Linked DNA regions of Rattus norvegicus. The protein of the gene in region 1 interacts with the protein of each later gene in a pairwise test. Links are inferred from orthologs where the notes say so. Each region holds a gene or a part of one and is shown on either strand. Other genes may lie near its edges. The genes, in order: Lsmem2 and Lsmem1.

The links.
Region 2: the proteins of Lsmem2 (region 1) and Lsmem1 interact in binary tests that used the Homo sapiens proteins (3 or more experiments, as listed by UniProt). The two-hybrid records come from large-scale screens. The link is inferred for Rattus norvegicus from reciprocal best matches to the Homo sapiens genes LSMEM2 and LSMEM1.

Annotation. Positions count from the first base shown.
Region 1 is NC_086026.1:117,139,824-117,156,076, reverse strand, and holds Lsmem2 (leucine-rich single-pass membrane protein 2), read left to right. Parts: upstream 1-6,776; 5' UTR 6,777-7,090; coding exon of another isoform or gene 7,091-7,112; intron 7,113-9,535; 5' UTR 9,536-9,638; coding exon 9,639-9,867; intron 9,868-9,955; coding exon 9,956-10,066; intron 10,067-10,138; coding exon 10,139-10,324; intron 10,325-10,478; coding exon 10,479-10,612; 3' UTR 10,613-11,579; downstream 11,580-16,253. Other genes in the region: Sema3b (semaphorin-3B precursor), read left to right, coding at 283-402, 474-567, 761-880, 1,896-2,041, 2,140-2,251, 2,361-2,430, 2,512-2,656, 2,954-3,173 and 6 more; Ifrd2 (interferon-related developmental regulator 2), read right to left, coding at 11,651-11,731, 11,837-11,932, 12,005-12,133, 12,349-12,486, 12,802-12,907, 12,995-13,173, 13,259-13,309, 13,446-13,603 and 4 more.
Region 2 is NC_086024.1:62,981,529-62,997,781, forward strand, and holds the start of Lsmem1 (leucine-rich single-pass membrane protein 1), read right to left. Parts: upstream 7,223-16,253; 5' UTR 6,921-7,222; intron 3,588-6,920; 5' UTR 3,583-3,587; coding exon 3,456-3,582; intron 1,879-3,455; coding exon 1,750-1,878; intron 1-1,749. Other genes in the region: Ifrd1 (interferon-related developmental regulator 1), read right to left, coding at 15,263-15,352, 15,783-15,878, 16,242-16,253.

The DNA.
Region 1 (16,253 bases):
GAGGTCAAGGCTGATGAGAGGGTGAGTCAGGGTGGGAGTTCATGTGATTCTTCTCGGGGGGGGGGGCCTCTGAGTCATGGGGGGCGGTGTGTGCATATGTGTACTTGCACGTGTAGTCACCCTGTGAAGGTAGGTTGTTACGAAGGCCAGTCAGGTCCCTGTAACCTGTGTTAGTAGTTCCCTGGGCCAATGCAGAAGAGAGGAAGGGCAGGGGTGCCCCTAGTGAATTGCTCAGGCTGCCTCCTTGGAGAAAGCCTGAGTGCACCCCCACCTGCCCACCAGACGGAGTGCATGAACTTCGTGAAGCTGTTGCATGCCTACAACCACACCCACCTGCTGGCCTGCGGCACAGGGGCCTTCCACCCCACCTGTGCATTTGTGGAGGTGGGCCACCGGCTGGAGGTAAGACCAGGACGGAGGAGAGGCAGGAAGGGTGACAGACAACTTGGTATTAACAACTGCCCTACCCCCAGGAACCCATGCTCCGCCTGGACCTGAGGAAGCTCGAGGATGGCAAGGGAAAGAGTCCATATGACCCAAGGCACCGGGCTGCCTCGGTGCTGGTGGGTGAGTCCAAAGGCTCACACCTAATAGAACTCTTTAGAAGTTCTAGAACTTCATGTGTCCCAAGGGCACCCCCTCAGATGCCCTATAGCCATGACCCCCCAAGCACCATCCCCCCCCCGCCCCCAAGAGCGCCCTACACACTTTTACTCTGAGAGCTCATAGCTGGCTGAGCAACCCTTTGCCCTGTCTGCAGGGGAAGAGCTGTATTCCGGGGTGGCGGCGGACCTTATGGGCCGGGACTTTACCATCTTTCGAAGCTTGGGTCAGAATCCGAGTCTCCGAACAGAGCCCCATGATTCCCGCTGGCTCAATGGTGAGATGCTGGTGGGGCCCCTGGGAGGAGACTGCCCTCCTCCGATAGGGAAGGTGAGATGAGAAAATGAGAAAGCAAGAGAGCACTGTTGAAGTCTCTCCGAGTATCTGTTATTATACCTGAGACAGGCACAGAGGCAGAGGCAGGCAAGAGTCTGAGTCCGTGGGTCTCAGAGAAAGCACACGATGAGATACATTCCTGTGGCCATGAAAGATGAAAGAACAGAAAAAGAAAAGGGGAGGGGAGGGGCTGGAGAGATGGCTCAATGGTTAAGGGCACTGACTGCTCCTCTAGAAGTCCTGAGTTCAAATCCCAGCAACCACATGGTGGCTCACAACCATCTGTAATGAGATCTGATGCCCTCTTCTGGTGTGTCTGAAGACAGTGATAGTGTACTTATATAAAATAAATAAATAGATCTTTAAAAATAAGGGTGAAAGAACAGAAAGGGGAAAAAGGTGTCTGGGTTGAATAAGGAAAGCTATTTTTTTAAGGAGCTGTGAGTTATTAGTAGCTTCCAGAACACAAGAAACCCAGCCAAAGAATTGGATGAGCATCTAGGTAAGGGAAACGATTAGTGCAAAGACCCTGAGACAAGAGCCAGCAATGATAAGGCTCAAACAACCAGTATTGATAGGAAACCCAGACTCTCAAGGTCTGGAGTCCTTTACTATGTGACAGACAGCAGGAGGAACTGAAGCAGGAACAGGGAGTATTTGATCTGCCAGGGAGGAAGATTTGTGAATGAAGGTGAAAACAGATACCCAATCTCCCTCTTCTCCTGGCAAATTAAGGAAAAGTGTGGCATGGTCAGAACTCCTGCAGAGGGGAGAGGGGGCAGCCCACTTGCGCTCGAAGCTGTGGTCTCTACTGCCCCCTCGTGGCAGTTTCTTGCTTTGCAGATGCTGATCGTAATGGGGGGGGTGCGGGGTGTGTGTGCGGGGGTGGGGGTGTGTCCTTGTCGAGGAGGACCAGGAACAAGACCCGCTGATACCGTGCCGTCTGTTTTGGCTAGAACCCAAGTTTGTCAAGGTCTTTTGGATCCCAGAGAGCGAGAACCCTGATGACGATAAAATCTATTTCTTCTTCCGTGAGTCCGCAGTGGAAGCGGCACCAGCAATGGGGCGCATGACTGTGTCTCGTGTTGGTCAGATCTGCCGGGTAAGGAGACATTGGGCCAATTCATCCCTTGGCTACCTTTGCCCCTGACCCTTTGCCTGCTATGGTCTTGTTCTCATCCCTTCTGATCCTGTGAGCAGAATGACCTGGGTGGCCAGCGGAGCTTGGTCAACAAGTGGACCACATTTCTGAAGGCGCGGCTTGTATGCTCAGTACCTGGAGTTGAGGGTGACACCCACTTTGACCAACTTCGTGAGTGTCTTGAATGACGGGCGACATCAGGGGAGGAGTCAGGGTGCAGAGTCCAGGAGCCTGAGGTGTATGTGTATGGCCCCACCACCTCCCTTGTCTTTCTCTGCAGAGGATGTTTTCCTTTTGTCCTCCCGAGACCGCCAGACACCTTTTCTCTATGCTGTCTTCTCCACCTCCAGGTGAGGGGCAGGTAGCAGTTCCCTTGGGCAGTCAGTTGAGCCTGCTGGGGTTGCTCACTTCGCTGTCCTTGTTGCCTCCAGTGGCATCTTCCAGGGCTCTGCTGTGTGCGTGTACAGCATGAACGACGTGCGCCGAGCCTTCTTGGGACCTTTTGCTCACAAAGAGGGGCCTACACATCAGTGGGTGTCCTACCAGGGTCGGGTACCCTACCCAAGACCTGGCATGGTACGTTGCTAGGGACTGCCTGCAGTAAGCAAGTCTCAAGGGTAGAGAACTTGACTTGGCCTGGGGGTTTTGGCAGGGGTAGTGATGGTGTTGTGTGATTTCTTTCTTTTGGTATGGGTTGGGGGAAATGCCGCCATCATAGAAGGCTGTGCCCCCTCAGCCTAAGGCTCACCAGGGAAAGGCTCAGATACTCAGCCCCTTTGTCGAGTCCCACCTTTCACATTCCCAGAGGCTTTGAATGGAGGACTGATGACAAAAAGCCCTGTATCTCTGTCTGACGTGCCTTGCCTTCTCTAGTGCCCCAGCAAGACCTTTGGCACCTTCAGCTCCACCAAGGACTTCCCAGATGATGTTATCCAGTTTGCTCGGAACCACCCCCTCATGTACAACTCAGTCCTGCCCATGGGGGGGCGCCCTCTCTTCCTACAAGTGGGAGCTGGGTACACCTTCACCCAGATCGCTGCAGACCGGGTAGCAGCAGCCGATGGACACTACGATGTGCTCTTCATCGGCACAGGTCAGGGTCCCACCACAGTGCCCACAGGACTGAGAGCCCCTCCAGGTTCCTTGGCCCAGAGTAGAAGTTGTTCTTGGTCAATCTAATATCTACATCTTTGTCTGAGCTGTGGCCCCGCTTTCTGAGGTCTCCCCTCATTGTTTCAACCCATAACTGTTACTTTTTCATGACCCAATCATGATGAAGGTAGAGGGCACAGGGCTAGAGCACATGTGCATGCACTCACACACACATGCATGCACACACACACACACACACACACACGCACACACACATGCACACACGCACACGCACATATACACACATGGCTCGTTAGGGAAACCCAATAGTCACTCTTTCCTTTCTTTTCTTCAGATGTGGGCACGGTGCTGAAAGTCATCTCAGTCCCCAAGGGCAGCCGACCTAACTCGGAAGGACTTCTCCTGGAAGAGCTGCAGGTGTTTGAGGTGAGGCCTCAACCCTAGTCACCCTAGGACACATCACCTGAAGCCATTAAGCCCTGATCCATTTGCCCTGCTTCCCTTCCAGGACTCTGCTGCTATCACCAGCATGCAAATCTCCTCGAAAAGGGTGAGTAACTCAACTTGGGGAGGAACTGAATTTGTCCCACAGCACCTGAGTTGTCTTGTTTCTCTTCGGTTTTCAAAGCCCAGAGTTTCAGGTCTAGCTTCTTTTTGCTAGACAATGAGACCTCAGTGTTCCCACATGTCCAATGGGGGGAAATGGCTATTTGACTGAAGGGAGCCAGGTAAGGGATGTCCTCAATCAGACTGGAGACTCTTGTGCCCTTTAGCACCAGCTCTACATAGCATCACCCAGCGCAGTGGCCCAGATTGCTTTACATCGCTGCCCTGCCCTAGGCCGCGCCTGCGCAGAATGCTGCTTGGCCCGTGACCCCTACTGCGCCTGGGATGGATCAGCCTGCACACGCTTCCAGCCTACTGCCAAGAGGTGGGTCTGGAGGCTGGATTGGCTTGGAGTCTGGATTGCGCTACTGGGAGGGAGTCTCTGCTGCCAGCAGAGAAGGGCTCATATAGGTTTTAATGCCTCCCTCAGGCGGTTCCGGAGGCAAGACATAAGGAATGGCAACCCCAGCACCCTGTGCTCTGGGGGTGAGTACCCCATCAGCTCCTACCCCCAGGCCTTGAAATTGCTACATCTAGTCCTGCCTTGTCTGAATTTTTACATTTTTGTCTCAAGACCCCTCTCACTCTGTGCTGCTGGAGAGGAAGGTCTTAGGTGTGGAGAGGGGCAGCGCGTTTCTGGAGTGTGAGCCCCGCTCGCTCCAGGCGCATGTGGAATGGACCTTCCATCGTGCAGGGGAGGCAGCTCACACCCAGGTGTGCCTCACTCCACCCTTCCTAACCAGGCCCATTTAAGAGAAGCCATCCCCTGCCTAAGGAGGCCTTTGACCTGTACCTCTTACCTATGTGAAATCCCATTCGGTGAGGCCCTGTTCAGATACCCTTATCATAGGTCTCATCCTATTCTGTCCTTAGTTGCACTCTACAACCTAGTGACGCCTCACTGTGCCCAACTAGACTCCTGACCCACCCTCTACTATCTGGAGAGAGAAGGCCCCACGCATTGACGTTTCTAATCTACCCCATGCCCCACTCAAGTGATCCCTCTCACCTAGATCGACTCATCCTCTAAAGGCTACCTATTCCTGTGCTCATACCCTTTAAAATGAGTAAGTGCCAGCACCTATTTTCTTTGTCCACCTTTGGCTTCCAATGACCCTTTGTTTCTGTTCCTGCATTCACACATAGGTGCTGGCTGAGGAGCGGGTAGAGCGCACTGCACGGGGGCTGCTGTTGCGGGGGCTGCGGCGCCAGGACTCTGGCGTGTATCTGTGCGTCGCGGTTGAACAAGGCTTTTCACAACCACTGCGTCGCCTGGTGCTGCACGTGCTGAGTGCGGCACAGGCTGAACGACTGGCGAGGGCAGAGGAGGCAGCAGTTCCCGCACCACCAGGTCCTAAACTCTGGTACCGGGACTTCCTGCAGCTGGTGGAGCCAGGCGGTGGTGGAGGTGCAAACTCCCTGCGAATGTGCCGCCCGCAGCCCGGGCCCCACTCTGTGGCAGCAGATTCACGTCGTAAGGGTCGCAACAGGCGGATGCATGTCTCTGAGCTGCGTGCTGAACGTGGACCACGTAGCGCAGCTCACTGGTGACTCGGCTGTCCCCATACTGGGGACCAGGCTGGATATGACACACCGAAGAGGGGGCAGATAGATGCCAGGAAGACAGATGAGTTGTGGCTGGGGCACACTGAGATCGTTGGGCCAACGGAGACAACTAACCCATACATGAACCCTGGCCCAAGTGTAGCTTATTTATTAACAAGATAACCCGTGAATGTATTCCTGGAAGAGTGGCCCAAGCTCAATTCAGGATCTAACCTGGAGGGAGGGGACAAGAAGTGGGGCTCCAGAGTGGAGCGGAACCAGAGAGATGTCTTGGGTGGCAGCCCTGGGGAAAGCATTCTCTTTCTTGGGCATCGAGGAGAAAGCTGTGAACAGATTAGGCTGTCCAGTGTGGGGTGAGGCAGGCCAACTGTACTAAAGTAATACAATAAACACATTATCAGCTGATGTTGGAATGGCCCCAGCAGATAGCAGCTAGTCCTAGACCTTGCTGGGGGTCTCGGACATTGTCCTAGCGGTCTCAAGGCCTGTACTTTTCCCATCCAAGAAGGCTGTAGTGGAGATTAAAAGTGTTAGTAGATGATTACGCTGGTTCTAATGAGCCTCTGGGGCTCAGTGCATTAGCAGCAGGGCCAAGCTCTCTGAAGTAAAAACAAACAAACAAAACAAACAAACAAACAAACAATACTGGATGTTGTGGGCAAGAATGTATTAAGAATTCACTGAGTGGGTGATGTTTGAGCTGAAAGGAGCCAGTCACAGATGTCCAGTGACAGAACATTCCAGACTAGAAGGACCAAAGTCTTGGAGCGGGGGACAAACCCTCTCTGTCTGAGGAACACCAAGGAGGCTGATATGGTATCACACTATGGATTCCGAATGGTTTGGAAGGTAGACCTGCCATGGTCTTGCTTTGCACAGCTGTGAAGAAGCAGAACAGAGTTCACTCACAGACTAAGGCTGCAAGCTGGAACGGCACCCTTCAAGAGTGAGCAACAGGCCTCCACATGGCCTTATGGAGAGGAGACAAGAGCCAAGACCGTTATGTCTAACTCTTAAGCCATTCCTCTGCATTTGTATTCTCAGTACGGTTGGCCAGGAACCCTTGTTCCTATTCTATAGGTAGAAAAGTAAAGGCCACTCTTTTTCCCCATGGTTATAGTTTAATACTAGAAATAGCAGTTTCTAATCCCGGTCTGACCACTGTATGGGTGCCCTTGTAGAGCTGCCAGACCCTTGGCATTGGGCTCCAGTTGCACCCAGTCCACCACCCCCAGTATCTGGTACTAGATGGTCACACAGTGGTGGGTGGTTGTCTCCAATTGCTGGGAGGAGATGGCTAGTCTGTGGGTAAAGGGTCTGAGAGAGAGGGATGGCTGAGCGGACCTGTGCAGGGTTCCTTTGCTACCATGCTGCATGGTGCGTGCTGAGCATTGGGATGAAGGCTCCCAAGTCTGGGTGTGTATAAAGTTGGTGTGGTTTTCCGAGAAGTTCCTTCTGTCCATGTGCTAGCAGAGGCTTGCCCTTGGCTGAGCCCCATCACTAAGTAGGTAGTTTAGGCCGGCCCATCCAGGTCACTCTGCCCCTTTTCATGGTTCAGAGCTGCCCTCTCTAAATATAGTTCAGGGAAAGTGAGCTCAGGCCTATTTCAAGACCAGGTTGGGAGGCAGCCAGGCCTCTCCTAGAATCTGAAAGAAGCCACTGCTGCCTTTGTCCAGTTCTGCTACTGGGCACTCTCATTGGGCCTCTGACTACCTACCAACTGCCATGCCTGAGGAGATCCAAGAAGGTAGGAGAGGGTGGCCACTGGGGAGGACAGGGCTCAAGTCCTATGGGTCAAGGAGAGACCTAGCTTCATGGGGAGAACCCTCAGTCTTTTCTTACCTCAGCCCTAGGGACCTACCCTATGTACGGAGAAAGAATACCTAAGGCTCCTCCACTTAAGGTCCTGGCTCAGGGAGGGGCTCAAAGCTCTCCACTTAGGAACAGGTCAGCTGTAGGCTGTGCCCAAGCAAGTGTGGGCATCTAGGGGGCTCCTAAGCAGCCCTTTCTAGAAGAAGCCAGGATTGGGATGAAGACTGGTTCCAGGGAACATTTGGACACCTGGCCCAGGGGACTATGAGGTAGAGAGGCTGTCCTACACCTCTCAGCCTGGTCAAGGCTGACACTTAGCTAGTCAAGTGCCTTTACCTGCTGAGCCATCCTGTCCCCCCTCAATATTTTATGCTGCAGAGAAAGGGCCTGCTCTCTACTAAGGGAAGGTGTTTATCTTTTTGGGGGGAGACGGGGAGACTTAACTGTAACACCTACCATGTGTCTTTTTCTGTAGCGAATAAAACATGTCCAAATATAAGTTATGGGAGAAGCACAGTGAGGAGCCAAGAGGAGGTTTAATGTGGCTTGGAGTCTACTGCCGGGGCTTAAGGACTGACAGCCTCGGGTTTTTTGTTTGAATTGCTTGTGAGCCTGGCAAGGGGCAGCTTCAAGCATGTCATAAAGGGCTGAGTTACTGTCCTGAGATGGGAGGGCCCAGAGGACCAACAGCCAGCCTTACCCAGTTCTCTGCTACACTGTTACCTAGGTTCCTGGCAGGCATCTGGAGCTCTTGTGGAGTGGAGACAAAACAAAACAAAGTAACAAACATCCAATAAAAGACCTTGGGGGGTTGGGGATTTTGCTCAGTGGTAGAGTGCTTGCCTAGGAAGCACAAGGCCCTGGGTTCGGTCCCCAGCTCCGAAAAAAAGAACCAAAAAAAAAAAAAAAAAAAAAAAAGACCTTGGTGGTACACACTCAGGAGGTACAGGCAAGCAGATCTCTGTGAGTTCAAGGCCAGCCTGGTCTATATTCTGAATTCTAGGCGGCCAGGTCTACATAGTCCCTGTTTTGAAAATTAATTAAGCAAACAAACACACCAGCAGAAAGTATAGTTATAGTTATTTAGAAATCACAACTATTTTGGTAGTAGTTGGAATGCTGAGGCAGAGGGATCACATGAATTAACCAGGTACTCAATACCAGTCTGGAAACTTGCTGAGACTGTCTTAAACAGGGGAGGGGGCGGGAGGAGGACGAGATGGCTCAGTAATTAAAAACACTTGCTGTAACCAGGAGATCTGAGTTCAGATCCCAGTACCAGGCGACAAGCTGGGTGTGGTCTTGTGTGCCTTAGAACCCCAGTGCTGTGTGTATTGGGACAGGAAGATAGGAAGGTCACTGGAGCTTGCTGGTTGCTGCCCTTGTCAAAAACAAACAAACAAACAAACCCCCCTGATTTCTGGACTTGGGAAGAGTCCCGTCTCAAGGAATAAGGTGGAGAGTAAGAGATGGGGCAGCTGCAAGCGTCTAAATGGGAGCGAGCATTCACCACGCACATGTCGCTAACACATAACAAAGCTGGGTAGAGAGAGAGAGAGACGCGCACATTTAATACCAGTAATAGGCTGAGGCGAGAGAATTTCGACTTTAAGCCTATCCTAGCTTAGGCAATGAGTTCTGGGACAGCACAGTGAGTCACTATCTCAAAACAAAACCAAATCTGAAATATAACCGCAAGGGAACCGTGGCCAGTGACCACATAGGCAGAACCTGTGAATGGTAATTACACCCGTGGTCAGCCTCCCCAGGCAGCAATCAAGGCAAGCTGTTTCTCATCTTAAATTAGCAAATACAGGTAAAGGTATGTGCATACAGGGTCTGGGGATGGTTCTGTAAAAGATTTGTCTAGCAGGTATGAAGACCTGAGTTCATTTCTCCGGGGACATGATGTGTGTGAGGCTGCCCCATGACATGCTCAGAAGCAAGACAAAAATCAGATGCTGTCTGTCAGTCTTTAAGTCTGGGAGGTAGACTGCAGATCACGGGGTATACACTTCTGATCCCAGGTCTGGTGAGGTTAAGAGTTCCTGGGGCTCCATAGTGAGCCTAGGCTGTTTGTTGAGCTCCCGAGCCAGGTCAGCAAGACCTCTGGCTTCTGTGCAGGCACAATGCACACAAACACACTTTTCCCCACAGTGGGATGCCTAATGGTGCGATGTTGTACTGCTGGGCTCTGGACAGGCCTTTTAGAAGACAGTTTTGATGATAGCTTCAAAGAGAACTCTCTGTTCTTGGGTCCAGTGATTTCAACTTCTGAGAAATGCCCTCAGTAACTTTCAGGAAAGTGGGGAAAACCTTCTTATTTAATGATGGATGTCCTGGGGGTTAATTCCACAGAGAATTGGAAACTACCTAAAATGCCCAGATAGCCTCAGAGGGAAGCCATGGGGAGGAGGCCTCAAAGTTGCATGAAACTGTGGAGAGAGAGTGGACTCCTGCCATGCTGTTGAGTGCAAAACAGCAGGACTCCAACCTTCCTGGAAGAGAGGCAGAACCACTGTCCAGGAAGGCAGAACAGAGGCCAGGAGGAATACGCAGGCAAGGCAAAGCGGGGGAAATGCCCAAATGTGGCCATTGGGAGCCTGTCAAGAGACCCTGTGCACGGAGCCCTGGACCCAAACTAAGAGTCATTCCTGAAACTGTAGGGAATTTGGAACCAAATGCCACAGGTGCAGTCCTCATATCCCAAGTCCCTACAGCCCCAGTTTGCCTACAAAGTAAGGACTCTTTGCTCCAATTGTTCCACTGCCCCTGTAGATACTGTGTTGCCAATGCAGAACCAGAGGCACAGGCCAACACTGGCTCCTAACCACGTGCAGGAGGTGCATCTGCATCGAGTGGAGTCCATCAGTGACCTGCACAGTGGAGGTAAGGGCGTTCGGGGAGGGAGCAAGATGGATGCTTTGGGTGCCACTTTCCAACGAATCGCTCTCCCTGCAGGCTCACTACGGCCCTGTCTGGCTGAAGAGGCGCAGGCCTGGGAGGAGCTTCTGGGTGTCTTACCACCGTCACTGTGCACCCAAGCTGCTTGCAGCCCCATGTGTGGCCGTGGGGGGTTCCTTCTGCTATTGGCACTGCTAGTGTTCACCTGCCTGGCACTAGCCATCGTAGCTGTCTACCTAAGTGGTAGGGACAGGCAGAACTGGGACCCCAGGGCAACTGGAAATGAAGCAACAAAGGGTGGGGCATGGGTCAGTGGGCAACCCCATTGCAGGGCCATGTGGGGATCTGAGGAGGCATGGAGTCTAACAAGGTCCCACAAATGTCTTCCCACCCCCAGTGCTGCAGAGTGAATCCCTGAGGGTGTTGGCACACACGCTGCGCACACAAGAGGAGACTCTGCTCAAATTGCGTCTGGCTAGCCTCAGCCAGCTAAGAAGGCTCAACTCCAGTGAGGCTCGGGCACCCAGCTGAGATACCATCTGTATGTGAGACTGTGATGGGGGACAAAGGGACTTCTGGCAGGTCTCTGTTCTCCCACTGATGGCCTCATCTGCACTATTCCTTGGGGAGATTTCTTCACAAGCCTGACGTTCCTCCACAGCTGCCTGTCTCTCTTGACCGCTTCAGGCCAGGCCTGAGCAAAGCTCTTGGTGCCAAGGCCCTGCTGTGGTTAGCCAAAGGTCAGAGGATGGAGCACCAGTCTTTTCCTGGTCCCCCGTCAGCACCCTCTGGTCACCCCCAGATAGGAAGTTCAGAAGTCTAGAAATAGCTGTCCCAGCTCAGCCACCCACTCTGCCAGGCCTCCTAGCAGGGGGTCCAGCCTCAGCTCAGGCAAGCCAGGCTGAGTTGGGGAACTACATGTCCTGCCATGGAGGACAAAGGTGAGGTAGAGCTAGTCGGGGCCAACCTGGGGTGGCAGACGGAGGGAGGGCAGGCACAAGACTCAGGAGAGAGAGGGGTTGGGGATTTAGCTCAGTGGTAGAGCACTTGCCTAGCAAGCGCAAGGCCCTGGGTTCGGTCCCCAGCTCCGAAAAAAAAGAAAAGAAAAAAACAAAAAAAAAAAAAAAAAAAGACTCAGGAGAGAGGCCACAGGGGGCTAGGTGTTGCTTAATCTCTTATCTTTAATAAATCAGCACACGCATCCATTCTAGGCAGCTTTGCCTACCCTAATGCCACAGTGGCCAGGTGCCAGACCTGAAAGGAAGCACCCAGGGGGCAAGGTCTAAAAGACACAAGGGACAGCCCTTTCTCACCCTCACCACGAGGACCAGCACACATTTGGTTTCACCTGAGACAGGACAGGAAGAGGCCTCAGCCACATGGCTGAGTGCACGTACAAAGGGCTTGAGTCGTAAGTGTCCTGATCCCTCGACCCTCCCACATTTGTCTATTTTTGGTTTCATTATTAAAAAAATAAAGTGACAATTACTGGCAGGGACCAGTTCTTGCACTGTCTTCTGTTAAAAATATGGTAGGGGTATGGGTAGCCTTCTCGTTGGCCAATCTACTTCACAAGATATCCGCCCGCTTGTCCCTTGCACGACTCCGGGCCTTGGTCCGGGCTTTGAAGGCCGCAGCATTGTACAGGTGCTGTCGAAGAGGCAAAGAAGGGAGCACGGTGAACCCAGGAAGCCTACTCACAGCTCCAGACCTCCGGGTAACAGAAGGCAAGATAAAGGTGCCCAAGATGCAAACCTTTTCAAAACGTGAAATCTTGCAGGCCTTCAGGGCAGCAGCATCCAGCACCAGCACAGGGCCCAGGCCGAAGATGTCACGGAGAAGTTCATTATTCTAAAAACAAGGCAGTTAGCTACGGCCAGTCTGAAGCGGTCAGGCTGGGTGGCCCTCCCTGTGTCCCCTCACCTGGAGGTGATAGTGCATGCCGGAGCCCAACACATCTTTGAAGGCTGTGTAGATGCGGTGGCGAGCCCAGCTGTCTATGTAGAGCACTTCCAGTCCAAAGCGGATTGTTTCCTCCTCACATTCACCGCCCTAGAGAATAGAGGGCCCTACTGGGATTGGCTGCCATGCCTGGTGCCTGTGTGTGTGTGTGTGTGTGTGTGTGTGTGTGTGTGTTGAGACAGGGTCTATGTAGCCCTAGCTGTCCTGGAATTTACCACCATGCCTCTGTCTCCTAAGTGCTGGGATTACAGGTGCCTAACCCTCGGGGACATATTTTTATGGGACACTCATGTTCTCACACACACCTCAACAAAGTGCAGCACGGCTCGGAAAATGGAGCGCTGGCGTCGACGGTCAATCTTGGCACGGTACTTATTGCTGTCGGTGGCGAGAGTCCGCAGAGATCCACACAGAGCCTCCATGTCCTCATAGATGAAGTCCTCCTGTGTGGGAACGATGGAGGCACTGGGTGGAAGTTTCTCTTTTGGAACTGAGCGAGGTGTTCCCCAAGGCTTTTCTTCCACTCGCTTCTCTCCTCTTCTCTGCCTAGCCCCTCCTCAGCCTCTCCCTAGCAGTTCACCCCTACACAGAATCCCCACTACAGTAACTAGCATGTGAGTAAGAGTTAGGGTCACCTCCCCTGCAAATGACCCAAGACTGCTGTTATATCCCCACCCCCACCCCACCCCGCGGCATGCGTTGCAAACAGCCTGGGATGGTCGGCAGTGCCAGCCGGCTCCTTCTCCTGTCCCTCGCACCTCGAGATCCCGGGCAAGCTCGAAGAGCAGGGCGATGGCTTCACCAGCAGCAATCCGCAGGTTCACACTTTCACTGGACAGGAGCTGGGGCAGCCGGGGCAGCTGCCTACAGACAGGGAAAGCTAAGCGTCATGAATGGACTGAGGGTCCCTTCCCAAATTCCCTTTCGCTCCCAGGAGGCAGCAGCCCCTACCTGTCAAGGATGTGGTTGATGTGGGTACTAGGGCAGATGGTGAGCAGCAATGCCCAGGCCTGCAGGGCGGCACAGAGCAGGCCATGTAGGCTGGCAGGAACCAGAGAAGCAGCAGAGCCGCCGGTGCCACAGGACCAGCTGAAAACACCTTCCAAGCAGGCCAAGCAAGAGACCAGGTCCTAGGAGGACAGGGAGACAGGCGTGGCTCACAGACAGAGCTACGGAGCTAAGCTGCACCACCACTTGTGTTCAAAGTCCACTTACCTGGACATCGGTGGCAGCCACATAGCAGCCCAAGCCAAGAGCAGAAGCACACTGTTGGAAAGAGGACAAAGCTAGGCCACCGTGGGTCAACACCGGGAACATCGTATTGAGTAGAGAATCTGAAGACAGAGAACCCGACACCCTGCTCGGGGATGAGGGACCAGCGGCGGGGCACGGAAATACTCACATGGAGCCGGGCAGTGGGGCTTGCTGTACTGTCACTGAGCACCGAGATTAGCAGGGGCTGCAGGCTATGGAACAGCTCCTCGCCCTTGGGTCCAGGGCCCAACTGCACACAGAGCAGGCCTAGTACAGCAGCGGCCAGGGCCTGTTCTTCACCCTTCCCTACAGGATGCTTTGCAGTTAGCGCATGCAGCAAGCGTCAACACCTGCCTAGCTAGGGTTCCCCAAGTGCCCAGGACTTGACCTTTCTTAAGGCACTTTTCCAGGGCGTCGGCCAGAGTGAGGCTGCGCTCCAGCAAAAAGTCTGGAAGTAGGCGGGAGGCCAGGGCCACGCGCAGGCTCTCCAGAGCTCCTTGCCGGGTCTTGGCGCTGGGAGGTGAAAAAGGGTTCGTGTGGGTGACGGGAGCCCTTGGTTCCATTTGTCACCGGCTGAACGGGGCCCCAAGTGTAGGAGTTGGCCAGCAGCCAGGGGTACCTCTTGTCAGTCAGGCAGTCCACATAGTCCTTCAGCTTTTCCTCCAGGTTTTCCTGCTGGCTCTGTTCGTCCACAGCTTCCCCACCTGCAAAGCCAGTCGGTCATCACTGGATCCTGCCCTTGTCCAGTGGAGCCGTCCTCGAGCCCCTGCCAAACTTCAACCTGCTCTCACCCAGGCAGTCTTCTGCGGCGGTGCTGAGAAGGCTGGGACATTCACTGGTGGTGCTCCGGGCCTCGCTGGCCGCGTCGTCCTCACTGGAACCCGAGTCAGCTTGAGTACAGCTCCTGGCACCTGGGGAACATAAAGAAGTCCCTATCTGAGCAGTTTCCACTGGTGAGGGATGACTCAGGGTACCTCACTTAACTTCATGAATGCTATCCCATCTCAGAGAAGATGCAAACCAAGGCCTGGTACCTATGACTTGAATTAGGAAGCAGGAGAAAGGGAAGAAAGTCTATCTGCTAGAGGACACAGGAGCTAGGCCTACCCGGGGACAACCTGAAAGACTCTGTGAGGGGGGACCCCAGGAGGGCCCAGCTCCCCCCTCACCAACCCCTAGACAGGGTTTCTTCCTGTAGCTCTGGCTGTCTTAGAACTAGCTCTGTAGACCAGGCTGGCCTCGAACTCACAGAGATTCACCTGCCTCTGCCTCTCCAGTGCTAGGATTAAAGGTGTGTGCTAACACTGGTTGGTGGGCACAGTCTGCTTTAAGGACAGCAGGAACCACATAGTGGCAGAGGGGACTGGGATGAGTCCCAGCGAGGCCTGTGGCCCACTCTAGGGTACGGTCAAAAGGTTAAGACAGTGCAAGGGTTAGGGCTCAGGTTATAGTACCAGACAGACAGGGGTTTAAACTGAGCCAAGGTCTGGTGAACTCCGTTGGGCTGCACTATTAGCACCCCTCCCCCTCCTCGTTTTTAGCAGAGGTATAATTTGATGAGTTGCCCAGCCTTTAAAGTATGGACAGCAAAGTACACCTCTCAGGTGTAGCAAATAAAGTCAAGTAACTCGAAATGGCTCTGCCACAAGCCATCACACTCACTATGCTATCAACTCTGGCCCAGGTCCTAGTGGATGTGCTTGGGCACCTTGTGCTTCAAATACATTGTTTTCTGAGCTTCCTTTGGTCCACTCAGGGCCACCAACTTCAGGTATGGACACAGGGCACCTTTTAGCCTTGGAAGACCAGAAGCTTGTGACTGTGTGAGCATTTGAAAAAGTAAACACAGGGAATCTCAATGTGTCAGTAGGGGCAGAACAGACCGTGTGTGAATTCTCTCCAGGGCTGAGGACTGGCTTTGAATAGGGTAGTTTCTATGATAGGCGCCCTGGGCAGGTTCTGACCTAACAGCAGACCTTACCTTTTAGGGACCACTAACATTACCTGCTTGTAGGAAAAAGTTCGGCCCACACATTGATTTCTGTGCACCTCTTCTCTTACTATCCTACTTGTCAAAACCCCCCCAGACAATCTCATTTGCTGCACTGTATTGTGGTCCCTTTGATTGCCGGGCCTTTGTGCACAGGTTCCCTACCAGAGCGTCTTTATCTTCTCAGGTCTTATCCAAGAGCCCCCTTCACAGGACCTGCCATGATTCTTTCTGAGACCACTCAGTAAATGCTGTCCATTCTAGTCTTTGTGGAACTGTCAGCACCCTATTAAATGCCCCCAGACCCAAGCCACATTAGGGTAGCAGTCAGGTCAAAGGTATGCTCGGCAGGCACTCCTTCTCAGCAGTTGCTTGTTTAGGGCGGCGACGGGACAAGCTTCTGGTTGAGGCTGATAAGAAGTCTCCAGACTGCTTAGGGTTCTTTGATGTCCACCCGGTCTCCAGCCCAATTGAAAGAGCCCCATTCTGTACCTTTCCAATTACACTTCCCCGTTTTACAGGACAGACAAGGTCTCTCTACTAACTTCCTTGTGCAGGCTACCAAATGCACTAGTATTTGGCAAAACGGCTGGCTTCACGCTCTTTCTAGTGTGGTTGTCTACCCCAGTGGCGGTGGGAGAACTTAGATCCTTAATGCTGATCAAATCACCATTGCGGCGCGGGATTTCGAAAAACAGCTGGCAATGAGCTCAAGTGAGGCGCACACGTGGCCAATGCCAGCTGAGGCACGTGCGAGCCTTAGCAGAGTTCTGGGAGGTTACGATGGGCTGATCTGGGAAGATCGTCAACTCAGGACCGTCAATGACATCGAAGGGGAACCACGGAACACCCCCGCTCACTACAGAACAATTCTACTGGAGCCCCCGGACTCACCTCCTCCACGGCGCTGACCGCCCTTGCGGAGCGCATTGCCCTTACGAGCGCGAGGCATTCCTGAACCCGGAA
Region 2 (16,253 bases), on another chromosome or scaffold:
GAACGAGGAGGAGGAGGGGGAGAGGAGGAGGGGGAGAGGAGGAGGGGGAGAGGAGGAGGGGGAAGAGGAGGAGGGGGAAGAGGAGGAGGAAGAGGAGGAGGAGAAGACAGGGCTTGAGAGATACACTCGCTGCTCTTTCAGATGACCAGAGTTCCATTCCCAGCACTCACGTTGTGCCCTCCCATCTGTAAAAGTTAAAGTCTGCATCCTGGTGATGCAAACTGCCTTTGAGGCACTTGTGCTTGGCTCACATTGGCGGCATCGTTTGGAAAGGCTGAGAGGATGGAGCCTTATCAGAGGAGTTGCATTGCTGGGGATAGGTGCTGATGTCTGTGGTGAAAGACTTGTCTCTCAGCTTCCTGCTCCTGCCACCACGCGTGTTGCTTGCCGCCATGCCTCCCCAGCATCATGGGCAAACTCTCCTCTCTTTAAGTTGCCCTTTGCTGTGTGTTTTTATCACAGCAACAGAAAAGTTACTCATATACCTTTAATGCATATAAACAATCCCAATAAATCCCTTGGTTCACCAAGCTGGGTTTGAATATAGTCATTTCTTTTGATTTGTCTGGCCAAGATGAATAGACATTTTCTTTCATGTCTCACGGGTAAGGTCATACACTATCCCTTCTCACAAGCTCACCTCAAACACCCAAAGGGGTCATATTATCGTCAACACCACCACCTCCTCTACTCCTAAATGAACTTAAGTAAGAAACACTGGGAAGACGTGCGGTTACATTTCTTATTTAGAACTGCTGAAGGCAAGACGGGAGTGGTGACACATGCCTATACTCCCAGAACTCAGGAGGCTGGGACAAGAGGATCTCAAAGTCAAGGCTAGCCAAGGCTAGCCTGACCTGTGTATTAAGATCCTGCTTCAAAAAGAGAAAACTTGTCAGATGCCAAAAGCATGAAAAGTCAGAAGAAACGACAAGACGGAAGACTCAAAATGGTGTCAAAGATAACACCCTCCCTATCCCCGGCTCCGGGTAGCATTCTGTAGTATGAAAGAATATAGCAATAATTACTGATAATAGTAAAAAAAAATAGTCATCTAAGAGAGAACTGTGGTAGCTCTGATGGAGAAGAATACAAACACACACACATCACACTTCAGGTAGATAGTTCCTCTTCTGATATCCAGACAGAACAGTGACATGATCAGCTTAGGGGTCTCTAGTCTGAGGAGCAGGTATGGGAAAACCTCTGTGTCATCAATTAAGGGTGACATGTATTGCCCAGGCCAAGAGTAGACAGGGCCAAAGCTAGCTGGCATCAAACAGGGCAGAAGTAACCCACCCTCAAAACCCCAGTTTGCACTAGCCATTAGTGTGAGCCCTTGCTACTCCAAACAGACCTCTGGGAGATATGCAAATGAGGAAAGATGAGGGGGTGTTAAAACCTCAGGAAACTGTGTGTTATATATCTAAATGTGATGAAGATATTTATGTGTTGAATAAAGAAAACTAAAATTAAGTAGGACACATTGCATATAATTTGGTAGCAGAGGCTCCGGGTGACAAATTAAAAGCTTACATAAATATTTAACATAAATGTAACCTGGTACTGCGGGAGCATGCCCTGGACTTGTAGCCAAGGACCCAGTCCAGGAGCAATGAACTGCCCTTAAGACACTGGGTCTCCCACTGGCTTCTTCTGGAAATTCTGATGGCTAGACTGCGCTAACTCCAGAAGCGACAGCTATAAAGGATGCACACACAATTAGAGACAGACTTATTAAGTACTTACTTATTAGGAAGATGGAGAAGAAGACCAGAGCCAGGCTGACCATCAACACCAGGAGCAGCCCCACAAAAAACATACCCTGCCTTCCATTTCTGGGAGTTGTGCCAGTGTTTGGGATTTTCTCCTCTAAAGCTGATGGGAAACAAAGTGACACAATCTCAGCATCTCACAGAGATGTGATGAACACACCCATTTCCATTTTCCCTGAAAGTGACGTCTGCATTAGGAATGTCTTTGGATGGGCAATTTTGGGGCTGTTTACCTTCTCTGTTGGGATTCAAAAAATGAGTAGGCTTGAGCTATGACCTTGAACCTGTTGGGAAGATTATTTGAAAACTGTTTGCTGTGGAGTAGAAGGGCACGAATTATTCTTTGGAGGAGGAATAGAAAATGGATGAGGCTGTACTGGCCATCTCCTAGGTAACTTAAACAGAGCTAGGTGTGATGCCTTCCCTGAGTGGACGAGCAAAAGCTGTGTGGTGTATCCCAGGAAGCTGCTTTTATTATCAGAATAACCTCTTAGGTCTATATCCATTGACAAAAGAGCCCCTGGGGTATTTGGTTTCTTGAAGCTATTTCCAAGATAGATCTGCTCTAGAAGTCAGGCTCTTCTCAATGCTTTGGGCCGGGAATTGTCTCTCACCAGGTGCTTTGTAATCCTCAGGTGCCTAAAAACACACAGGTAGCCTTGAATAAGAGGCGGAAACCCCTGGGGTATAGCAAGCGCCAATACACATATTCTGCTCCTCCCTGAATTGTCCCCACAGGTTATGCTGCGTGATTATCTAACCAAGTGCATCCCATGTTCCGGCCTGTCAACAGCTGCTGTTTCCTAACCCACGCCACACCACAGCTGACACCACACACCCCCATACTAAAAACAGGCCAGGATCTGAACAATGACAAAAGGAAGAACCCTGAAGAGACAAGAATGGAAATAGCAGCTATAGAACCGGACGGTAAGTGTAGAGTGTTCATGAAGGAAGTGGCAAATAGCCCATCCGTGCCTGTGTTTGAATAGTCGTCAGTTAAGCTAGAAAAGATGGGGTCCAGAGGGCCCAAAAGGCCTGGTTTCTAGCGCTTAGAGAGCCAGACACACTGTGTATTTTGGAGGTTTTAGGTTTGCTCTCGTGTCTCTTCCAGTACTTAATTGGACAATTTGTAATTGATAAGTAGAGAAGGGAGTTGACTTTTTGCACAACAGAATTTTAATGATTTTGAAAATAAATCGATGAATGTGTTGAGCATTTTCCTCAGTAATCTCTGATAAAAACAACACCCCTGGGATGCAGAGATTATATAAACCTAACTAACCGTGCTCACACAGAGGCCCAACAGCCGAGAGGGACTGAGCAATACCTGTACCCAGTAAGAAAACACCATAGCTTCTTCCTCAAAAGTTTTAAAGGGGAAAAACAGGACATGGAGCAGGGTCTTCCTATACAGGCAGGCTACCAGGAACTACCTACGCTAGCCCAGGCTGGCCTTACACTTACGATCCTCCTGCCTCGTGCTCCAAGAATAGGACGAACCACTATGCCTAGCTTCTCACAGGAATTGTGATGAGTTCAGCCCTTGCTGAGAAAGTCAGTGATGCTTTGACAGATTGGGGGCCCAAAATCAAAACTGCTAAATGAGAAACAACATTTCCAGTGCGCCCTTGATGTTTTTAGAAAGTCCCAAAGCCATGCTTCCAGGTTCACACATACAGAATAGATGCTGTGATTCCGTCGGACAGAGATTGAGTTTGTTTAAGTCGTTTATGGAATCCACGACATAGAGTTTTCCTTCTTCATGGACGTCATGAGATCCAGCATCCTGAGAGGAATGAGTCATTGTGCCTGGAAGAAAGCACCAACATTAGGAAGAAGAGGCTGGGCTGGGAGCTGCGTAAGCCAGAACGGGAAGAAGCTGGATAGGCTCATGAGTTACCATAGCCCATCCACAAATGCTGGGCTAGAGGAGAGACACGCTGTGTTGGACAATGCTGGCTATTCCTTTGCCTCTGCTTGCCTGAATCAAGTGTGTGGTTAGGACACAGCCACTCATACCCTGTAACCCTCTTCTCTCCTCCTCCGCTTGTCCACTTCTATCTTCTTTCCTCTGGGTCTGTATTTTGTTTCATAATTGCCTCTCAAAATGTTTTCTCCCCATGGTTGCTAGTTTAATATGCTTCAAGTCCTCTGTACAAAAACACAAGCTAGTCAACAAAATGACCGTAAAACAGACAAATATTTAACTATGAGTCCTTCTAATTTCCTAATTTCACACAGACACACCACACACACACACACACACACACACACACACACACACACACTCTAACATACTAAGAAATTCTGGATCATTGAAAGATGTAAAAAGGCTTCCAAGACATATATTTAATGACTAAGGAAGTTCTTTTTCTCTTCATAAGGTGAGTCAGTGGTGATATGAAGTCTGGTGTCTAAAAGGCTAAAATTTTAGAAAGACAAGGTAGGGGCACCTGTGTCTGGTGGCTTATAACCATCTGTAACTCCAGCTCTGGGGGCTCCAACTCCTTCTTCTGGCCTTTTTAGGCACCCGCACTCACATGCACACACTTAGACACAAGGATACTTAATTGAAATAATCCTCAGAAAGAGGAGGCAGCAGTAAATGGGCCTGTCTATATAGGTGGCCACAGATTTGTTCCTGATAACCATTCTCTGAAGAGATTTCTCTTAAGACCCAACCATAGAGTTCGAAGAAACCAAATGGAGAAGACTACTAATCTAACCATAGAAAATCTGGGGGAAAGCATCACATCCTTCCTGAACTCCTTAAACTATACTATCAACCAAAAGCCTCACGGCTAGAGACATGGCTCAGCCATTAGGAAAGCCTGATGCTCTATTAGAGGCCTTGAATTTGGTTGGTTTCTAGCACTCACGTCAGGCGCTCACAACCACCTTTAACTCCAGTTCCAAGGAATCCGACCTCCTCCTCAAGCCTCTGAGAGCGCCTACTGCGCATGCTCGGCGGAGGGGTGGAGGGGTGGAGGGTTTCTAAGTAGCACCCACAAATTTAGTGGCACTTGTGTTAAACATATTCATAGATTCCTAGCTGAGAAACACTGTAAGATCAGAAAATCATGCACTGGGTTTTTTTTTTCTTCATAAATCCAAACTGTGTGTTTTCATTATCCTGAAATTTTAATTGGAAAGAACGCATGGATGGAGTTATTACTATAAAACACTTTAAATATTGAAATTATTGAATTTCAAATATGCTGCATGGAGCAGTCCGAAGAGAATGACTTGACATGATACAGTTTAAAAACAACACCAGCAGCAGCTGTGAGGGAAAGGGTCTTAGCGAGCAAACCATACCCCTTGGAAGATAAGCCACGCTCTCAAAGTGCTGTCGGACACCTAGACACTGGGCTCTAAAGCACTCTTCCAGAAGTGCTTTCTGTTTCATCACCCCCTTGTACTTCATTATCCCAAACACTATTGTTGTTTTGTACGGGGGTGACCAGGGAAAGAAAGCTGTATGTGTCACGTGGTAGGATCACTGTTGCAAACACAGCTTCTATTTTGGGCGTGGTAACTGAGACAGTTCATTTCTGAATCTGACTTAATATCCGTTTCCCCCTCAGGAATGTCACTAGTGTTGCAGAGAAGGGAGGGGAGGGGAGAGGAAGGGAGGGGAGGGGAGAGGAGGGAAGGGAAGAGGAGGGGAGAGGAGGAGCCGGGAGAGGAGAGGAAAGGAGAGAACTAGTTACAAAGTAGAAAACTAGCTACAAAAGTCATTGCTAAAAAGTCCTGCTTTCCTGACCTCATAGGTAGCAATGAATATCCTAGTAAGAGCACCAGTGGAAGGGGAAGCCCTGGGTCCTGCTAAGACTGAACCCCCAGTGAACTAGACTGTGGGGGGGGGCGGCAATGGGGGGAGGGTTGGGAGGGGAACACCCATAAGGAAGGGGAGGGGGGAGGGGGATGTTTGCCTGGAAACCGGGAAAGGGAATAACACTCGAAATGTATATAAGAAATACTCAAGTTAATAAAAAAAAGAAAAAAAAGAAAAAAAATTGAAAAAAGTCCTGCTTTCAAAGTAGTAGTCCAGTTAATAAACTTTTCTTGCCGCAGACTAAGAAGGTGATGCCAGGAAATCTAAGGGACGGAGACATGGCACTAAGCCTGGAAGACTGAACTTAATCTCCTTCACTTTCTGTTCAATGAGAACCGACTCCTGCAACTTTTCCTCTGACCTCCACACAAGCGTTGTAGCGTGAACATGCCCCTCCCACCCACGTAATTAGAATAAAATCCGTAGTAAAATTTGTTCAAGATTTTTCCTAAATCTAAGATAAAACAAGTAAACAATGGAGTGCTCTGAAAAACATGTTTACAGTGAGCTCACACCGTGGATGTTTTTTCAATAAACCTTTTCAATATTGCAACATGTTAAAATGAAAGACAAACTAGTAGAGAGAAAAAAACAGGGGCCCCCATGGCCCCCGAGAACCTGCAGGTGGCTTGCCAGGGACTCTGCCAGGAAATGGACACAAGGACACGTCTTGAAAACCAGAACCCACTGCTGTTGACACCAGCGGTTGCTATCTTTGGCAGCTGAAATGAGGCCATCCGGGAACAACCACCAAGGCCCGTGAAGAGTGTCACTAGCCATTCCGTGTCCGCCTAGCTCGGCCTTCCTGCCCAACTCCACTGTGTAGATCAGCCTGTTCCCAAACGGCCAAGGCAGCATCCTTTGGATGGAACCATTTCTGATCCTGGAACTGAGACACGTAAGTAGCTTCATTTCCCCGTGCTCCCGATCACTGCTAACAGCTGAGCGTTTATCATTTAATAATTGCTTGATTTTTCTACACTTCAACAAATTGTCCCTGAAAAAACTCGTTCCACACCGCCCCCACCCCCAGAATAACCCACACCATACTGTATGTTACCAACTCAAACTTGTTTACCAGTGAAGGCTGAATTCAAAGCTTAATGAGACACCTCCCTGAGTGAGTCATGGCCATTTATGAGCAGCATTCCTAAGTTCATGCTTCAGTGGGGAGGTAATTTTTAAAATCAAGTCTACATCTTTGCAGTCAGCAGTTGAAAAGCACCGAACACAGGCAATGAAAGTCCCGATGACTCAAGAATCAACATTCTGCCTCAGTAAGGAATAGCATGCGAATTACTTACGAAGACGTGATCCTGGACTGCTCAGTTATCCGGAAACGACAACTATTCAGGAACAACAACAGCAAAACTTTCTACCAATTCTGTAGTGTGTTCTTGATCTCCCTGCTGCTCACGAGTGCTCCCCTGAGGCCCATAAACCCAGCACATAATTGGTAGTCTATATTTAGTGTAAATTTAGTCAAGAGCTGCAAGATTCCCTGCACTGGCTTCCCCTATAATGTCTAAGAGTTTTAGATATGCATCGCTGAAACTTGGCTTTAAAACAACAAACCAGCAAGCCTTGATTTCGGTTGGTAACTGTTGTGGTTCTTATTAAGCTAGAAGTCCTTATTCAGTGGACGTGGCTGTATCAGCTGACAACACATTCCTAGCACTTCTGCAGGGGTGTGCTCCTGGGTATAAATACCCCGCAGGAGGCAGGAGCTACCACGGGGACAGCTGGTGTGCAGGGACTCCAGACCAAGCAAAGATCTCAGTAAACAGCGAGGATAGTTGTGATAATACAACTAGCAGAATGGCTGGTGTGTTCCATTTCCATTCCTGTATCAAAGTATCCAAAACAGGTCAGCTTTATAGAGAGTAAAGGTTTATACTAGCCCACCATTTTAGACCTCTGGCCTAGGCTTGAAGCAATAGAAAACATGGTAGTGGCTACAGCTGAAAGAGGAGGCTTGGTCTCATGAAGCCAAGAAGCGATGGAAAGAAAAGGTCGATGACTTGTCTTCAAACAAGCCTCACACCTAACGGTCTACCATCTTCCACTGGTTCTAGGCTGGTGACCAAGAAAGCCTTCTACACCTTTCTTTAGGGAGACTTTAGAGACGTAAACTATAGCAGCAGGCCCGGGGACTCCTGGGCCTTCAATTAGCTACAAAAAGTGTTTGTGAGTGCAAAGATTGCACACTTCAGCATTCTTTCCAAAATTATCTCTTCTTTTTTTTTTTTTTATCTTTATTAACTTGAGTATTTCTTATTTACATTTCGATTGTTATTCCTCTTCCCGGTTTCTGGGCCAACATCCCCCAACCCCTCCCCCTCCCCTTCTATATGGGCTTCCCCTCCCAATCCACCCCCCATTACCATCCTCCCCCCAACAATCACGTTCACTGGGGGTTCAGTCTTAGCAGGACCCAGGGCTTCCCCTTCCACTGGTGATCTTACTAGGATATTCATTGCTACCCATGAGGTCAGAGTCCAGGGTCAGTCCATGTATAGTCTTTAGGTAGTGGCTTAGTCCCTGGAAGCTCTGGTCGGTTAGCATTGTTGTTCATATGGGGTCTCAAGGCCTTTCAAGCTCTTTCAGCCCTTTCTCTGATTCCTTCAACGGGGGTCCTGTTCTCAGTTCAGTGGTTTGCTGCTGGCATTCGCCTCTGTATTTGCTGTATTCTGGCTGTGTCTCTCAGGAGAGATCTACATCTGGTTCCTGTCAGCCTGCACTTCTTTGCTTCATCCATCTTATCTAGTTTGGTGGCTGCATATGTATGGGCCACATGTGGGGCAGGCTCTGAATGGGTGTTCCTTCTGCCTCTGTTCTAAACTTTGCCTCCCTATTCCCTGCCAAGGGTATTCTTGTTCCCCTTTTAAAGAAGGAGTGAAGCATTTGCATTTTGGTCATCCTTCTTGAGTTTCATGTGTTCTGTGCATCTAGGGTAATTCAAGCATTTGGACTAATAGCCACTTATCAATGAGTGCATACCATGTGTGTTTTTCTGTGATTGGGTTACCTCACTCAGGATATTTTTCAGTTCCATCCATTTGCCTATGAATTTCATAAAGTCATTGTTTTTGATAGCTGAGTAATATTCCATTGTGTAGATGTGCCACATTTTCTGTATCCATTCCTCTGTTGAAGGGCATCTGGGTTCTTTCCAGCTTCCGGCTATTATAAATAAGGCTCTTGCTTCAGTTTTGATCACTGTTTTCTCCTTCCCAACTTTATAATCTTCAAGTACTAGTCCTCCAGAACTGGGAAACAGCCTAAGTACTCCAAGGCCAGAGGATAAAGTGGCAGAGATGAAACAACTCCACACATCTATCCCATCACACCTGTCTGAAGGGGCCTGGCTTTAGTTGAACTCCTAGACAATGACTTGAGTAAGATATGACAGCTCTCTCAGTATCTGAAGGTGCTTTAAATTTTGAATCAGTAGAAACAGAAATTGTCTATCGTGGGTCTTTGCACTTCCTTTCAAATGTCCCTCATGTTATTCAGTCAATTCCCAGGAAAGCCAATAAATGCCTTCACAGAGTTGAGTCACCTGTTGTTGACTGCTTCAAAATTAATTCTTGTGCCACAGCAATCTGGCTGAGAATCAGTGGTTGGCTGGCTGGCCAACCACAGAGCCCTTCACTACCTTCAACTCAATTCTTAAACACCAGGTTCTCAGCAATCTTTACCAGCAGAAGTTACTCAATGGTTTCTTTTTTTTTTTTTTTAAGATTTATTTATTTATTTTATGTACAGCATTCTGCCTGCATATGTGACTGCAGGCCAGAAGAGGGCACCAGATCTCATTACAGATGGTTGTGAGCCACCATGTGGTTGCTGGGAATTGAACTCATGACCTCTGAAAGAGCAGTCAGTGCTCTTAACCGCTGAGCCATCTCTCCAGCCCTACTCAATGGTTTCTTAAGGTTCCCATCTTTGTAGACTCAAGCATGGGTTAAGTGCTCTTATTTCTCATCCCTCAAACCCTAGTTTAAAAAAAAAAAAAAAGCATAGGAATATGCCACAAGATGAAAATAGGAATAAATACCAGAGTTCAATAAATGTGATGGGAAACTGAGGTGCCTGGATTTGCAGGCACTAATTCTGCAACCCACTAATGATGCAGAATTAGGCTCAGAGCTAGGACATAAGAGTTAAGTATAGGGGCTGGAGAGATGGTTCAGTGGTTAGGAACACTGACTGCCCTTCCAGAGGTCCTGAGTTCAATACCCAGCAACCACATGGTGGCTCACAACCATCTGTAATGCGATCCGATGCCCTCTTCTGGTGTGTCTGAAAACAGCTACAGTGTACTCATATAAATAAAATAAATAAATCTTTTTTTAAAAAAAGAGTTAAGTATGGACTAAATCAAACTGAAGCATTTGTCAAACAATGGTCCACTGAAAAGGAGATGGAGATGCCTTATCCCTTGGCTTAGTGTTGACCAAGGGATTTTAAGGCTCAGGGAAATTGCAATGCTAGAGTGGATACATTGTGTAAAACCTAGTCCTCCACAGTGGGAAGGCCCAGAAGATATATACCCTTCACGAATTCTATAAGATGCAAACTGGTGAGAGGAGCATCAGCACACTTGAATGGATCTGTTCTTGCCCTTTTCCTTGTGCCAGACCTTAGGGTTGGAGATGCTGCTGCTCAACTGGATGAATTAAATGCAATGGGTTTAATTGGGCCCTGAGGTAACAAGGGCTAGGTGGCAGCATTGAATCACCAGAGACAAGGTGATCGAGGTTATTATAATGGACATCGTAGACAAAATGTTTATGACATAGCCCGTAATGGCCAGCACAGGAAAGGTGAAATTTATAATGGCATGACTTGTTTGGACCTTTGGTACTGGCTAATCAGTCATGGTGTCTCCAGGCATGAAATTGATAAAAGTCTACTGCTTATTTGTTTGATCTGTGTAAGCAGAAAAATTCTCAAACCAATGAAAGAAAGGCTACATTGGATCATGGCAAAAGGCAATCTCAGCCAGTGAATCAGTTTCCAGACTTGAGCCAGTTTGCAGACCCAGAACTTCTTGAATGAAGGGGTGGCCAGGTTCCCCGGAGGAAGGATCTTGATTAAGACATCTGAAAGTTTTGCTGTTAGCCTTTCTCCAGTTCCCCCCCAGAGGGACCTACGGCCTTTTACAAGGGTAACTGTACACTGGAAAGGGAAATAATCAGACTTTCTGGGGTCTATTGGATACTGTTTCTAAATTGACACTAATCCCAGGAGACCCCAAGAAACATTGTGGTCCTCCAGTTAAAGTAGGGCATGCACAGCAGCAGTCTATTATCAAATGGAACTGATACATGATCAGGCCTAAGCAGGTCCTGAAGGCACAAGTAAGTTACATGAAGAAGTTGCTCAAATGCCTATGGTCACTACTCCTGTTATAATGCCATCTGCTGCCAAGCATGCGCCTATAACCTCATGGGGTGTTCCCTATGATCGGCTGACTGAAGAACAGAAGAGTAGGACCTGGTTTACTGACGGCTCTGCACCTTACGCCAGCACTACCAGAAGTGGACAGCTGCAGCTTTACAACCCCTTTCTGGGACAACCCTGAAAGACACAGGTGAAGGAAAATCTTCACAGTGGGCAGAACTTAAGGCAGTACACACGGTATTACAGTTTGTTTGGACGAAGAAATGGCCAGACGTACAATTGTTCACTGACTCATAGGCTGTAGCCAATGGATTGGCTGGATGGTCAGGGACTTGGAAAGATCATGGTTGGAAAATTGGTAAGAAAGACATCTGAGAAAGATGTGGATAAATCTCTCCAAATGGGCAAAGGATGTGAAGATATTTGTGTCCCGTGTAAATCTTCATCAAAAGGTGACTTCAGCTGAGGAGGAAGGAGTTCTATAATCAAGTGGATAAAATGTCCCATTTTGTGGACAGTCAGCCTCTTTCCCCAGCTATCCCTGTCATTGCTCAATGGACACATGAATAAAGTGGCCATGGTGGCCGAGATGGAGGTTATGCTTGGGGTCAACAACAGGGACTTCCAATCACCAAGGTTGACCTGACTACAGCTGCTGCTGAATGCCAGATCTGCCAACAGCAGAGACCAACACTGAGTCCCAGATTTGGCACCATTCCTCGAGGTGACCAGCCAGCAACCTGGTGGCAGGTTGACTACATTGAACCACTTCCTCTGTGGAAAGAACGTTTTGTTCTTACTGGAGTAGATACTTATTCTGGTTATGGATTTGCCTTTCCTGCACGTAATACTTTGGCCAAAACCACCATCCATGGACTTAACAGAATAATGCCTTATCTATCGTCATGGTATTCCACACAGTATTGCTTCTGACCTAGGAACTCATTTCACAGCTAGAGAAGTGTGACAGTGGGCCCATGATCATGGAATCCACTGGTTTTACCATGTTCCCCATCATCCCAAAGCAGGTGGTCTGATAGAAAGATAGAATGGCCTTTTGAAGACGCATTTACGGCGCCAATTAGGTGGGAGCAGCATGGAGGGCTGGGGAAAAGTTCTTCAGAAGGCAGTATATGCTTTGAACCAGTGTCTGATATATGGTCCAGTTTCTCCCACAGCCAGAATTCATGGGTCCAGGAATCAAGGGGTGGAAAAGGAAATAGTTCCACTCACTATCACTCCTAGTGACCCTCTAGGAAAATTTTTGCTCCCTGTCCCTACAACTCTAGGTTCTGCTGGCCTAGAAGTTTTGATTCCAGACAGGGGAGTGTTCCTACTAGGAGCCGAAACAAACATTCCATTGAACTGCAAGCTCAGACTTCCCCTGATCATTTTAGACTTCTAATGCCCTTAAACCAACAGGCTAAGAAAGCAGTGTTAGGAGGGGGTGATAGATCCAGATTACCATGGGGAAGTTGGATTGCCTCTCCACAATGGAGGTAAGAAGGATTGTCCAGAGTGCAGGAGATTCCTTAGGGCGTCTCTTGGTACTACCATGTCCTGTGATTAAAGTCAGTGGGAAACTACAACAGCCTAATGCAAGCAGGACGGCAAAGGACACAACACAGACTCATCAGGAATGAAGGTATGGGCCACTCCTCCAGGAAAAGAGCCAAGACCTGCTGAGGGGCTTGCAGAAGGCAGAGGAAGTACAGACTGGGTAGTAGAGGAAGGTAGTTATAAATACCAGCTAAGTCACATAACCAGTTGCAGAAATGAGGATTATAAATATGAATGCTTCTTCTGTTTTGTTAAGAGCATGTTTGTCTTTCTCCCAATTTAATATCAACTGGTATTTAAGCTTTGATACTAAAAGAGTGTTCCCAAGGGACATTGTGCCATTGTAAATTTACAAATGCACTTGTGATTGTACGAGGAAGTTATTTCATGTTAGGTGTATTCATGACCTTGTTATCGTTTCATGTGGACATGAGATATTAGTGTCAAGTTGACAAGGGGTGGATTGTAGTGGCTATTCCTGGGCTGTCAACTTGACTCTATCTGGAATGAACTACAATCCAGAATTGGAAGGCTCACCTTTGATCCTGAGCTTGAGGCTGGGAGATACAAGTTTCTAACCTGGATCTTGAGGCAAATTGGCTATGAATCCCAGGAGATTAAGGCAAGGCGATCTCTGATCACCTGGGACAAAGCAAGTCCCAGACCCAGGCACTGTGGCACACAACTTTAATCTGGGACACACCTTCTGCTGGAGATTTACATAAGGACACTGGAAGAAGGAAGTTTCTCCTTTTGCCTGCCTGTTTGCCTTGTGGGACTGAGCAACCACTAGATCCTTGGACTTCCATTCACAGCTACTGATCACTGTTGGGGAGTTGGTCTACAGACTGTAAGTCATCAACCAATTCTCTTACTATTTAGAGACTACCCAAAAGTTCTATGACTCTAGAGAACCCTAAGACAATGTTCTACACAGAAATTTGCAAACCAAACTTTTGGGCTGGAGAGAAGGCTCAGTGATTAAGAGCACTGACTACACTTCCAGAGGTCCTGAGTTCAATTCCTAGCAACCACATGGAGGCTCACAACCATCTGTAATGGGATCTGATGCCCTCTTCTGGTGTGTCTGAAGACAGCTATCGTGTACTCACATAAACAAACAAGCCTTTAAAAAGAAAAATCAATCTTTCAGTTAAGACCTTAAAACAACTGACCCTTTCTGTATTCATTCCTATGGAACTACAGGTATGTCACCTAAGACAAGAGGTGTGAACTTGGATTTGAAAATAAATCCAAAGGATAACCTCAACGTTTCAAGAAAAACAGTTGTACACTTGGGTGAAACTAATTTATACTGAACTGATACATAAAGAACCAAATTTTAGAAATTTCTTTAGTTAGGAAAGAATTGGTGGCAAGCATCTAGTGTATGTGTATAAAAGTCCAAGTAAATACCACTTTACAGCAAACGTTTCCCCCAAATAAACTGACGTGTGATCTCTTCACCTGTTAAGTTAAACAATGCCTTAAAAATAGTAAACCAAGAAATTGCTATCAGTGTATAAACAGAAATGTGAATGGTAGGCAGGAAACACCCAAAAAAGGGACTGATGGAAGAGAAAAGAGGGCTTTAGAAGCCTTGAGGTAAACTGTGATAAAAACTCATTAAAACATATACACAAAGCTAGGGGTAAAATGCTTTTCTGGAAAGTGCAAGTATTGATTTTGATACTCAGAAACCACATATCAACCTGGCCACTCAGTTATGGAGAGGTTGAAACAGGATCCATTTCCAGAGAAAGATAGAGGGTTCCTGAGAAGTTAGCACTCGTAGGTGGACACATTTAACAAATACATACTCAAAACTGAAAATACAAGGGCAATGTTTCCAGTGTTAGCCTACATGAAACGAAGGTAACAAAGCCAACTGTAGGCTGCAGTGTGTTCCCCAATGTGCTCTATCTGAGGGCTGGAACTGAAAGCCACAAACAAGGCAAACAGACGTCCCCCTAGCCAAACATTCCAGTTTGTTGGGAATACTAAACAGTAACTTGGGGGAAAAAAACAACCCAAGTGTCATGTTTCCTAGCCCCACCGTCTGCATCATGAAAACAAGAGTTCATGTACCCTGAACTGCACTCATTGAAGATATGTGGAGATTAATGGTTGTTTTATGCACTGCCAAAATTAAAGGTGAAAAAGCACATAGCACGTCCTACTCTTGGCTCGTGAGGGTGAAACTTGGCAGCCTTTCTGGCATAGCTAATTAGCATCAATTCCCAACACCTGACTGAACACAGGGCTCGACCGCAGCATGGAATAATGCCTTTGATGAACTGACTGATAAAAATCAAAACATCAACCTTCCACTGAACCCATTCCCCAAAACTACAAGCGCCATGTGTGTATCATAATCTGTCAATACTTCTGATTAGTGTAAACAAGTAAACCTTATTGTGAAATACCATCTGCTCACTACATAGAATATGACCAAGCATCACAAACACTTTTATTTGTGGTTATCAGTTATTTTTACAGAATAAAGAACTCATTAATTTGTAACACTGTACATTAAATTAAAATATAACCCATCCCTACATCAAAAATTATCTAAGTTGACCAAGATAAAAAAAGTCTCTAAAAGCTTATATACATTAGAAGTAGCAAAAATAATAATAAAGGAAGAAATTAGAAAACAGACATCAAAGTCAGACATCTAGAAGAATTCTCCAACATCTGCTCTCTTATCTCGGCATTTGCTTCGGGCTTTTGTTCGAGCTTTGAAAGCTGCAGAGTTATATAAATGCTGAAATAAAAAAGAAAATATATATGGATCAATAAGACAAGATATTCTTATAAACAGAAAAACAAATTAGGGGGAAAATATAAAAACCACAAAGGAACTAGAGAGGTTAATAGGTACACATCATCCTATAATAAAGTGCATGAAAATTTGGATACATCTTACCTCAATAAAAACCAAACCACACTTCAAATTTGTTATCTTAAAAAGGAAATGGTGGCAATCACTACTTCATGCTATAGACTCTTGAAAATGAATGAGCCTGGCACTCCACTAAGTTATTGCCCAGCACAACAGAATCATGCAAACATCCCATCACCAGGCAGAACCACAGCTTTGGCTCCATTTCTCCTCAAAGTATTTAGGACTAAAAACCTGAAGAGAAACCATAGAAGCTGTGCATTTTGTTTTAAAAAACAAAAACAAAACCTACCCTTTCAAAACGAGGAATCTTCATGGTTTTAAGTGTTGCAGCATCGAGCATCACAGGGGGTCCCAGCTCAAATACATTGCGAAGGAATTCATTTGTCTGAAATGACCAGAGAAGAGGTAAAGCCTGCATCACATATCTAACTCACTACACAGTGATCTGACTACAGAAGTGAATCACATGTCTCTCTCAATCCAGACAGTGATGATCTGACTATGACTACAGAAGTGATAGGCTTTCTGAAAATAAAATGAGCTTTCTGTTTTGTCAGCATGAACACAGAGTATTCTCTAACGCCTTAGATTCTAGGACTATGTAAACTTTCACAGAGCACAAGTAATACTCCAGCAGATGCTTACTGCTTTCTAATGCCTGGATGCATTCTGGCTATCAGGCTAACTTCAAAAGCCAGTCTAGCCCTCTAATTCCACCCCACCCACTTAAAGCAAGGACGCCACTCACCTGCAAGTGGTA